Ovis aries: one gene and its partner. The protein of the gene in region 2 interacts with the protein of the main gene of each other region in a biochemical or structural test. Links are inferred from orthologs where the notes say so. Each region holds a gene or a part of one and is shown on either strand. Other genes may lie near its edges.

Evidence for each region.
Region 1: of the proteins of TRIM25 (region 2) and ZC3HAV1, one has a biochemical effect on the other in vitro, tested with the Homo sapiens proteins (2 studies listed by BioGRID). The link is inferred for Ovis aries from reciprocal best matches to the Homo sapiens genes TRIM25 and ZC3HAV1.

The regions. Positions count from the first base shown.
Region 1 is NC_056057.1:104,152,819-104,157,975, forward strand, and holds the start of ZC3HAV1 (zinc finger CCCH-type antiviral protein 1), read right to left. Parts: upstream 2,784-5,157; 5' UTR 2,722-2,783; coding exon 2,414-2,721; intron 1-2,413.
Region 2 is NC_056064.1:7,431,343-7,436,441, reverse strand, and holds the start of TRIM25 (E3 ubiquitin/ISG15 ligase TRIM25), read left to right. Parts: upstream 1-1,203; 5' UTR 1,204-1,281; coding exon 1,282-1,881; intron 1,882-5,099.

The sequences.
Region 1 (5,157 bases), on a different chromosome or scaffold from region 2:
TGTTTCAAACAACAAAGAATAATAATTATAAAGAAACAAACTAAAGTTTCTAAAGGTAGTGTGCGTGATAAAACTAAGTTTCTAAATATATTACATATATTGCAACATATTAAAACAATTATAGATTATGTCTGCACAGGTTTTATTCCCTGTAAATGCAAGTCCAAATATACGGCAGTCAGAGAAATTTGAAAACCAACTGGATATTATATGATATTAAAATTATAATTGTAAAAAAAGTGATCATTGCACTGCAGTTATATTAATAGAGTCCTTCATCCTTGGAGATACTAGAGTATTTTACAAAGCAACTAAACTCTGGCATTTGGCTTAAAATAACACATTGGTGTTGGGACTGGGGATGGGAAGGGGAGAATAAATGAGCCAAGACTGGCCTTACTTTGAAAACTGTTGAAACTATGGGTACATAGGGGTTCATCATTCTCTCCTCTCTACTTTAGTGTATGTTGAAAATACTCATAGTAAAAAAAAAAATGTAAAGACAAGAAGCTTATGTATTTAAAACTAAAAGCCAGCACTAACTGGTGAAGAATTTTTCACAACAAAACAGGAAAGACTACAAAGCCTTTCATCCCCGTTGTTATTTGGTAGAGCACTAGAATGTTCCTTCCTTTTTTTTTTTTTGTCTTAATCTCTACCCTCTTTTCCTCCTTCCTGGTTTCATCTGTTACTGACTTAGACGACTTCTTCCAAACTCATACCTTCCTAAAACTCAGAAACAGACTTTCAAATTGTTGCCTCGCAACACAATAAATATCTCTTTTTAATAACAACGGAGCATATTTTGAAAATTTTGCTCTAAACGAATTTAAAAAAAAATAATCTCATCTAATCTCATCCATTTACAACCTCTGTCTTGTATGTTTTATCACACAAGTATTGGAGTGAGAAATCTAAAGTTCTTGGTGAGTATGTGCAGGCTGAAAAGTTTGAAGACCACCCACCATTTTGGACACTAAGACACCACTGAAAGTTTTTAAGGAGGGAGGAAGTGTGACAAATGCTACATGAAGAAAAACAATTTAGCAGAAGTACATACAGATAGGAAAGATGGGGACAAAGACTGTGGTCAGAGAAAATCATTCACTAGTTCAACAAGACATTCATTTAGAAGTGAGATTGAAAAGTAGGAAATAGAAAGGGAAGGCTTAGGAGTGCTCAAGGAAAGGACTTACTGATTAATGGTTAAGGTAATGTGAAGGAGGAAGAAGAGGCTGAGGGGAGTGTCAGAAACCCTGCCCTGGGGGAAAGAAAATGGGTTTGACTCCGACTGGTATGATATTTAGACGCAGATACTTCTCAGACACCTGGAGATGAAGAACCTAGAGTCGACTAAACGCCTGCGGAAGTACACAAGGGAGCCATCTTTGTAAATGTGACAACTGAACCCAATGGTGTCAGGGCTTTTGGGGAGAGAAGTGGAAGACAGGCCCATCAATAAGGTTAACCCAAACGTTGGGGCATACCTATATTCAGGAGACAAAACAAGTGGAAACACAGAAGCGGCTGCCTGGGAGACACTGCAGCACCATATCAAAGTGGTCCCAAGAGTGGTTTGGTCAAAGGGTGGTTGGCCAAATGTTCAGGCCACCTTGGCGACCACGAGGAAGGATCTGTAAGCGACCACGAGGAAGGATCTGTGAGCGGACCCATCGTTGGTAACCTTGAATAGGACCATTCTGGTCCGGTGGAGCGGTCTAGAGTCAGGTATCAAAAAAGGGATAATAAGAGGGGGGAGAGAGGTGGCTAGGAATGGAGGGCCAAAGCAGAGCCCCGCAGGCGCCGCGATGGAGACAGATCCCAGGGGCCAGGCGCGCCTGGGGGTCTGGGAAGACCACACAAAAAGCCCTAGCGGGTAAGGTAGCCGAGAGGGAGAGACTTAAGTTTCCAGAGGGTGGAGGCATTTTCGGTGGTTCCCAAACCTGCCTCCAAACCCTCTAGAACCTGGCATGCCCAAAAGAAATTTATTCTTACGAGAAAAGCGAAAGTGTTAGTTGCTCAGTCGTGTCCGACTCTTTGCAACTCCATGGACTGTAGCCCCCCAGGCTCCTCTGGCAAGAGTACTGGAGGAGGTTGCCATGCCCTCCTCCAAGGGATCTTCCCGACCCAGGGATCGACCCCGGGTGTTCCGCATTGCAGACAGACCCTTATGGAAGTGGGAAGTTCATCGTAGTCTTCACCGGGGCAATAGCGCCCTAGCCATACTGGAGGAAAGGTCCGACGACGCTGGAGGGGAGGAAACCTCCAAGAGACAAAGCGCGGGCCCCTCGAGGAGCAAGGCAGAGGCATAGGGCGCGCGGTCCCAGCGAGGGCGCGCCCCTCCAGAGCAGCAGCCACCGTCCTCCCGGAGCCGGGACCCGGGGAAGCCGCCCCTCCCGCTCACGGCACTCACCGCTCCGACTGCGAATAGTGGCACCGGCCCAGCAGGTTGAGCTTGCAGAGGTGCAGGTTCCCGCAGGGTTTGTTGCAGTACTTGCGACGGCAGACCCGGGCTCGAGTGGTGGCTACCACGGACCGGGTGACCCCTTCCTTGCCGCCCATCTCCAACACCACGAAGCGGTCGGGCCCGGCCTCCTCCAGCACCTCGCAGAGCTGCGCCTCGGAGAGCTGCATCTCGCGGAGCAGAGCTTCCAGGGCCATGCGCCCCCCGTGGGCGCACAGGATCTTGGTGATGAAGCTGCACACCCCGGGGTCCGCCATGGCGCGCTATACTGGCCTGACCTCCGCGCGGGACTCGGCTGCCGGGAGAATCGAAACTTACTAGAGTCCCTGAGGCGGGGGGCGGGCGCCGCGCGGGTTGGGCGCGCCCGGGGCCAGCGAGCGAGCGTGCGCTGTCCGCCGCCCGTTAGCCTAGCCTGTCGGTTTCGGTTTCCGAAAAGCTCGGGTCGAGAGGCCAGATCTCACCGACCCCGGTCCCTGCGTCAGATCAAAAGGCGATCGCGACGGCCACCTCGTGCAAAGAGAGCGAACAAGTGCGGGCTTGTCTGCGGGCGACCGTGGAGACCACCGGACGGCTGCCCCCTCGTCTCCAGGCTCCTGGAGGGTCAGGTTCCCCAGCGGGGCGCCGAGAGGCTTCTTTGGAAAGAAGAGAAACTAAAAGGGGAAAAAAAATAACCTCTCGGCTCCGGCAGAGCTTTTATAAGCCAGACGAAGCGGCGAATGACGCGAGTCTTGGGAGCCCTCTTGAGGAGCCCTCTGTTCTCTACCCCACCCATCCCCGGAAAGAACGGACCCAAGAGAGCGCCTGCTCTGAGCCCCGCGCCCTGCCTCCGATATTAGTTGTTGTTGTTCAGTCGCTCAGGCCGACTCTTTGTGACCGCATGGACTGCAGCCCGCCAGGCTTCCCTGTCCTTCACCATCTCCTGGAGTTTGCACCAACTCGAGTCGGTGATGCCATCCAACCATCTCGTCCTCTGTCGCCCCTTTCTCCCCCTGCCCTCAGTCTTTCTCAGCATCAGGGTCTTTCCCAATGATTGAGCTCTTCACATCAGGTGGCCAGAGTATTGGAGCTTCAGCTTCAGCATCAGTAATCTTCACAGCTCCACGAGTTAGATAGTATTATCCTCACTCTCCTCCAGGAAGTAATCTGAGCAAACAGCCAACAGCTGGAGCCAGAATACTACCCAAGGTTTCCCAAATCTGGCCCCCAGACTCCAGATTGAGGTCTGCCTGGCAGGGACCACTGGGTAGTGTCTTTCTCAGCACCCGACCTTCTCCAAGAACAATCATTATTGCTTTCCCGCTTTTTCACCTTTTTTTGAGTTCTTTGAAGAACCACTTCTTGACACATTCTTGCCTGTCTATAACCATCAACAGAGGTGCCCCAGGCATGCTTAGACAGATCCCAGGACTTAAGCTAGATATCCTCTCTTTGAATATTTGGACACGATCTTTTCCCCTTCGGTGGGGACTCCCTTAAGCCCGCAGAGTTGGTATAAAAGAAAAAAGTGAAAGTGAAAGTTGCTCAGTCTGTCTGGCTCCTGGGGATTCCATGGACTGTAGTCCACCAGGCTTGTCTATCCATGTAATTCTCCAGGCCAGAATACTGGAGTGGGTAGCTGTTCCCTTTTGCAGATCTTCCCAACCCAGGGATCGAACCCAGGTCTCCCACATTTGCAGGCAAAGTCTTCACCATCTGAGCCACCGTATAGAGATTAAAGTGAAAACGTTTGAGCTACAGAGGATGCAGAAATAAATTTATCTGAATTTCTCTTAGTCTGAGTAAAGCAAAAGCCTAAAGAAAATGCAGCTACCTTTCACCCCGTTCCAAGGGAGTTTCCTGCTAACTCAATTGCCCTGCAGACAGAATATCCATTGCAGTTAGCATTAAAAAACCGGATAGAACCTTCCATACCCCTCTGCAGCTGCTGCTGCTGCGTCGCTTCAGTCCTGTCCGACTCTGTGTGACCCCATAGACGGCAGTCCACCAGGCTCCTCTGTCCCTGGGATTTTCCAGGCAAGAACACTGGAGTGGGTTGCCATTTCCTTCTCCAATTCATGAAAGTGAGAAGTGAAATTGAAGTTGCTCAGTCGTATCCAACTCTTAGCCACACCATGGACTGCAGGCTACCAGGCTCCTCCATCCATGGGATTTTCCAGGCAAGAGTACTGGAGTCGGGTACCATTGCCTTACCCCTCTAATGAAGTTCTAAAAGAGAAACCCCTTTGTTAATTGAGATATATAAAGTGATTTCAGGCAATTCTAGGAAGTTTCCATTATTGGAAGCTTCCCCCCACCAATGCTAAATAAATCTTTCTCTCTTTATTTTTTTCCTTTCTCTTTTTAACCTGTCTACTGCCAGTTACTTTGCAAAACCCAATGGTTGAAGAAAGTGGAGAAAACCACTAGACCATTCAGGTATGACCTAAATCAAATCCCTTATGACTATACACTGGAAGTGAGAAATAGATTTAAGGGATTAGATCTGATAGAGTGCCTGATAAACTATGGATGGAGGTTCATGACATTGTACAGGAGACAGGAATCAAGACCATCCCCATGAAAAAGAAATGCAAAAAACCAAAATGGCTGTCTGAGGAGGCCTTACAAATAGCTGTGAAAAGAAGAGAGGCGAAAAGCAAAGGAGAAAAGGAAAGATATACCCATTTGAATGCAGAGTTCCAAAGAATATTAAG
Region 2 (5,099 bases):
AGTTTCTCTAAGCCTCAGCTTTCTCATCTGTACCATAAGGTATTTGTACCTCAAGGATTTAGAGGCTAAATAAATAAATGTAAATTTCCTACCTTCTTCAGTCTTCTTTTTCTCATGCAAATAACATCGTAATATGCAAGAGAAGACATGGGGTAAATAGTCCTGGAGCAATAGAGAAAGCTGGCATTAGGATGTTGAATAAAGCAATCTTGAGCTAGTATCCCAGTCCTCTTTTGTATGAAGTATGTGACCCTCATCTATAAAATGGGCATAATGACGTCCCTCCTGTAGTGCTAACAAGGATTATGGGAGATTATAAGGCTATCTACGACTCGCCTAGCACCCAGAGGTACGGATAAATGGTAGTGGTCAGAATTAGAATCCGCCTTTCCCCCCTTTTTGGTGCCCACCCTGTCCCCAAAGTAAACTCCAGTTCACTCCCCCCATAGCACTACGTTTCCTTTCGCCCGCATCTCCTCTTGAACTCGTCTCCCCTACTGCACACACACTTGTGCACCGAGGCTAGAGCAGCCGGGGAAACAAAGCTACAATTAGAAAGCAACTAAATAAACAATTTTGAGAACAATGTCTCAAAATTATATTTGTGTGCGTGCACAGGCGCGCGTGAAAGTGGGGACGTATGAGACAGGAGATTTTTATGAGACTGGGGTATCTCCAAACTCCAGGAAACTAGAAGGCGGGGCGGGGCGTAGAGGGGAAAGCGTGTCACATCGCCGGGCGCGGAAAGAAATCGCCAAGAGGAAGCCTCAGCCTGCGGAGATCGTGTTGCCCAGACGCCAGGGCCCAGCACCAGGGAAACGAAAGGAAGGATGAAATAAAATTTTAAAAAGGCAGAGAGTGGCGGGCCACCCGGGAAGCCCTTGCTGTAGGTGTTTCCACAGGTCCGTCCGATAAGCCCGCCTGGCGTGCGGCCGGGCTCCCCGAGGGTAGGGACCCGCGCAGGCGCGCCCGCCCGGGGCTCCGGCGCGCTCGGGAGCCGGGGTTCACTCCGCGCCGCGCGGCCGCGGGAACCGCCCTGGGGCCGGGAGGCCGGTCTGAACGCCCAGGGTGCGGCGCCCCGCGCCCGCCGCCGGGGCCGAGCGCGGCGGCCGGGACCGCGGGGACCCCGGGGCGCCCCCACCCGGCGCGGCCCGCCCGCCCCACGTGACTTCCTGGAAGCCCGGGGGCCCCGCCCCGCCGCTCGGTTTCGTTTCCTCGGCGGCCTCGGGGCCACTGCGCCGCCGTTTCCCCGCACGTCCCGTCGGGCGCCGCAGACGCACCATGGCGGAGCTGTGCCCGCTGGCCGAGGAGCTGTCGTGCTCCATCTGCCTGGAGCCCTTCAAGGACCCGGTCACCACGCCGTGCGGCCACAACTTCTGCGGCGCGTGCCTGGACGAGACGTGGGCCGTCCAGGGCGCGCCGTACCTCTGCCCGCAGTGCCGCAGCGGCTTCCCCGCGCGGCCGCAGCTGCGCAAGAACACGGTGCTGTGCGCCGTGGTGGAGCAGTTCCTGCAGGCCGAGCAGGCCCGGCCCGCGCTCGCCGCCGACGGCTGGACGCCGCCCACCCGCGCCGCCGCCCCCAGCGCGGCCGGCCAGGTGGCCTGCGACCACTGCCTGCAGGCCACCGCCGTCAAGACGTGCCTGGTGTGCATGGCCTCCTTCTGCCAGGAGCACCTGCGGCCGCACCTGGACAGCCCCGCCTTCCAGGACCACCCGCTGCAGCCGCCCGTCCGCGACCTGATGCGCCGCAAGTGCGCCCGCCACAACCGCCTGCGGGACTTCTTCTGCCCCCAGCACAGCGAGTGTATCTGCCACGTCTGCGTGGTGGACCACAAGACCTGCTCGCCTGCGCCCCTCAACGAGGCCAGCACCGACCTGGAGGTAGGGGGGCGGCGGGCGGGGGCGCCGAGAGGCAGCCTAGGCCGGCGGGGTGGCGCACAGGGCCCCGCTGTGGGCAGTGTGGCCGACCAGGCGGATCCCGTGGGGGCGGTGGAGGGGCATCCTCAGGCCTTGCTGTGCCTGAGATGGGGCCAGGGGTACAGCCAGTGTCCTGGTAGAAGGGGCCGTGAGAACATACAGCCCTCATATTCGTGGCTCACCCCACTCACCCATTTTACAGAGGGAACTACTTAAGACGCAGGTGATATGTTGTTTGCATTAAGCCTAGCAGTTGTCTGGGGGTCGCTTGTGGCTCAGACGGTAGAGAATCTGCCTGCTATGCTGGAGACTCCGCTTCTATCCCTGGGTCGGGAAGATCCCCTGGAGAAGGGAATGGCAACCCACTCCAGTGTTCTTGCCTGGAGAATTGCGTGGACAGAGGAGCCTGGCGGGCCACAGTCCCTGATGTCTCAAAGAGTGGGACACGGCCGAGTGACTACACTTTCACTTTAGCAGTGATCTGACATGTTTAGTAGAGGGTTTTGAACATCAATATGAGGGCTAGAGGTTACCTACGTTCTCTTAAGTTCCCCTAGCTCCCAGGTGGTGGGTATAATGAGTTGTTTACAGCTGAGGAAGTAGGAAATGGACATTCAGAGAAGTTCATTTCACTTGAGTTAACCCAAGTGGCCAAGTGGTCATTGAGCCTTGGCCAGCTGGTCGGACACCATTGTTGCTGTTTCTCCTGGTGGACCAGCCTCAAAACCAAGTCCTGGAATTCAGAGCACAGGACATTCCTGAGGTCATGTGAGATAAAGTCTTTGTGAGCCAGAGACTTCTGGTGACCGGGGAGGACCGACCACTGTGAGGGGGAGGGTGGGCAGGGTCCCAGGAAGCCCTGGACAGGAGGCCCAGCTGCACGCTTGCTGTGCCCTTTCTCCTGCCTGAGCTCCTTTAAAGCACGGGGCTGGTCCTCATCAGCAACGTGAGGAGGGGGATCAGGGCCCTTCTTGGTCTGAGATGGTTTCAGTGGTTGCCTGGGGTCGGTCCTCATCAGCAATGTGAGGAGGGGGATCAGGTGGATTCCTCAGGGCCCTTCTTGGTCTGAGATGTTTTCAGTGGTTCGAGGACCCTGATTTCCCATCTGGAATGGAGGCAGAGGCTGAACAGGTGTAGGCCCACTCCCTTTCCTTGCTTCAGTCAAACTTCAGGGTGAGGCCTGGGTTCTTTTCTCTCTCCCAGGCTCTCAGGGAAAACCGGGGCTGTCCTCGTGCTGTCTAAGGAGATGTGAGGCCTGGGGAGCTTTGCAGTGGCTCCACGGCCCGGGGGCAGGTGCTGCTCTGGCCTGGGCAGGACCCTCCCTGCCTCGTCTGCGTGTCCAGGCCGAGCTGGGTTCCTGCGGCCTGCTTCTCTGAGTCCCTCAGGCCTTGCCTGACATTGACCAGCGAGGTACAACTGTCTCAGGCCCAGCCCACTTGGGTCTTCACCTGTTACAGGAAAGAACCTGCCTGGCCTTCAGAGCCTGGAGGCCTGCTCTGCGTACATCAGCTGTGGTTCAGGGCAAGTCATTACATTTCTCTTGAGGGTCAGCGTCTTCATCCCTAAAACGGGATTAATAGCATTCCGTCTGCACATCCAAGAGTGGCCAGGAGGCTCCAGGGGGCTGAGCTGTTTGGGAAGTGCTTCTTAGGCAGGCCCCAGGGCCCAGCTGGTTGACTCGGATTCTGACCAGAGCTGAATGTTGAGACCTGGGTTTGAATTCTGGCTCTGCTTCCTGGCTGGGAACCCATCAAAGGGCCCAATAATGCTGCCTATCTGAGGAGGTGGTTGGGAGGATTAATGAGGTGATCCATAAATGGTGGGTTTTGTTTATTTGTTTTAAACACAGCTGTCAATCCGCCTGCAGTGTGGGAGACTCAGGTTCAATCCTGGGGTCAGACAGATCCCCTGCAGAAGGGAATGGCTACCCACTCCAGTATTCTGGCCTGGAGAATTCCAAGGACAGAGGAGCCTGGCAAGCCACAGTCCATGGGGTTGCAAAGAATCAGACACGACTGAACAACTAACACTTCACTTCTTAGCTTTTAGGTTGTGTGTGTGTGTTTTTTTTTTTTTTTTTCCTTTTCAGTTGACAGAGATCAGAGTTGCTTTTTAAAAAAAAGTTGTTTTAAGTTTTGGCCCTGATGGTCTTAGTTGCGGCGCACAGCTTCTCTAGTTGTGGCGCGTGGGATTAGTTGCTCCTTGGCATATGAGATCTTAGCTCCCTGAGCAGAGATTGAACCTGTGTCTCTTGCATTGGAAGGCGGATTCTTAGCCACTGGACCACCAGGGAATTCCCCATGCATGGCATTTTTATAGCTCACTAGTGCTCCATAGAGCTGCTGCTATCATTTCTGTTACTCAGAAATTCCCTGAGGAGAGTTGCTGCATGGAGGGTGTTAGACTGCCCAGATTTTCTTCTCAGGATGTGTGGGCCTGAGGACTTGGGCAGCCTAGATCTGCTCAGAAGGCCTGCTAGCAGTTCTTATCCAGGGGGCAGAAGGCAGTGAGGGGCAGAAGGGCCCTTTGTGGTCTGGTCTGGAGCCACAGCTTCCGCTCGATCTCCAGGGCCTGGGGCTGAAATCTGCGCCCAGGTTATCTGTGTGCCATGCACGCTCGGCTTTCTAATCCTTTTAACAAGCCTTGCCTGCCCTCCATTCTCCTGGCCTGCTGTGTCCTTTAACCCTGCGGCCCCCCACCTTTTTGGCAGGCAGCAGGGACTGGTTTCATGAAAGACGGGGAGAGGTGGTTCAGGCAGTGTGGGGAGCGGCAGGTGAAGCCTCGCTTGCTCGCCTACTGCTCACCTCCTGCTCTGCGGCCCGGTTCGTGGCAGGCCTTGGACCAGTACCGGCCTACAGCCCAGGGTTGGGAACTCCTGCTTTAACCTATCTCCTTTTCCAGCCCTGCTGCTGGTCAGTACTGGTGGCAGAGCCAGCCCAGCTGGGTTTGATCACTGGTGTAGGGTGGACTCAGGACTCTGGTGCCTACTTGGAGGACCGAAGTCCCTAGTCTGTAAGCGATGCTCAGAACTTTGAAAAGTTCCCTGTCCTTGATTAGCTGCGCTCAAAGGCCTTGGGTGGCTTTCCTTTGGTCTATAGCCGTGTGTGCCCCTGTGTACCAACAGGGACTGTTGTATGCATTTGATCAATATGTGTAAAATCTTTCAAGAATGGTGAGGGACA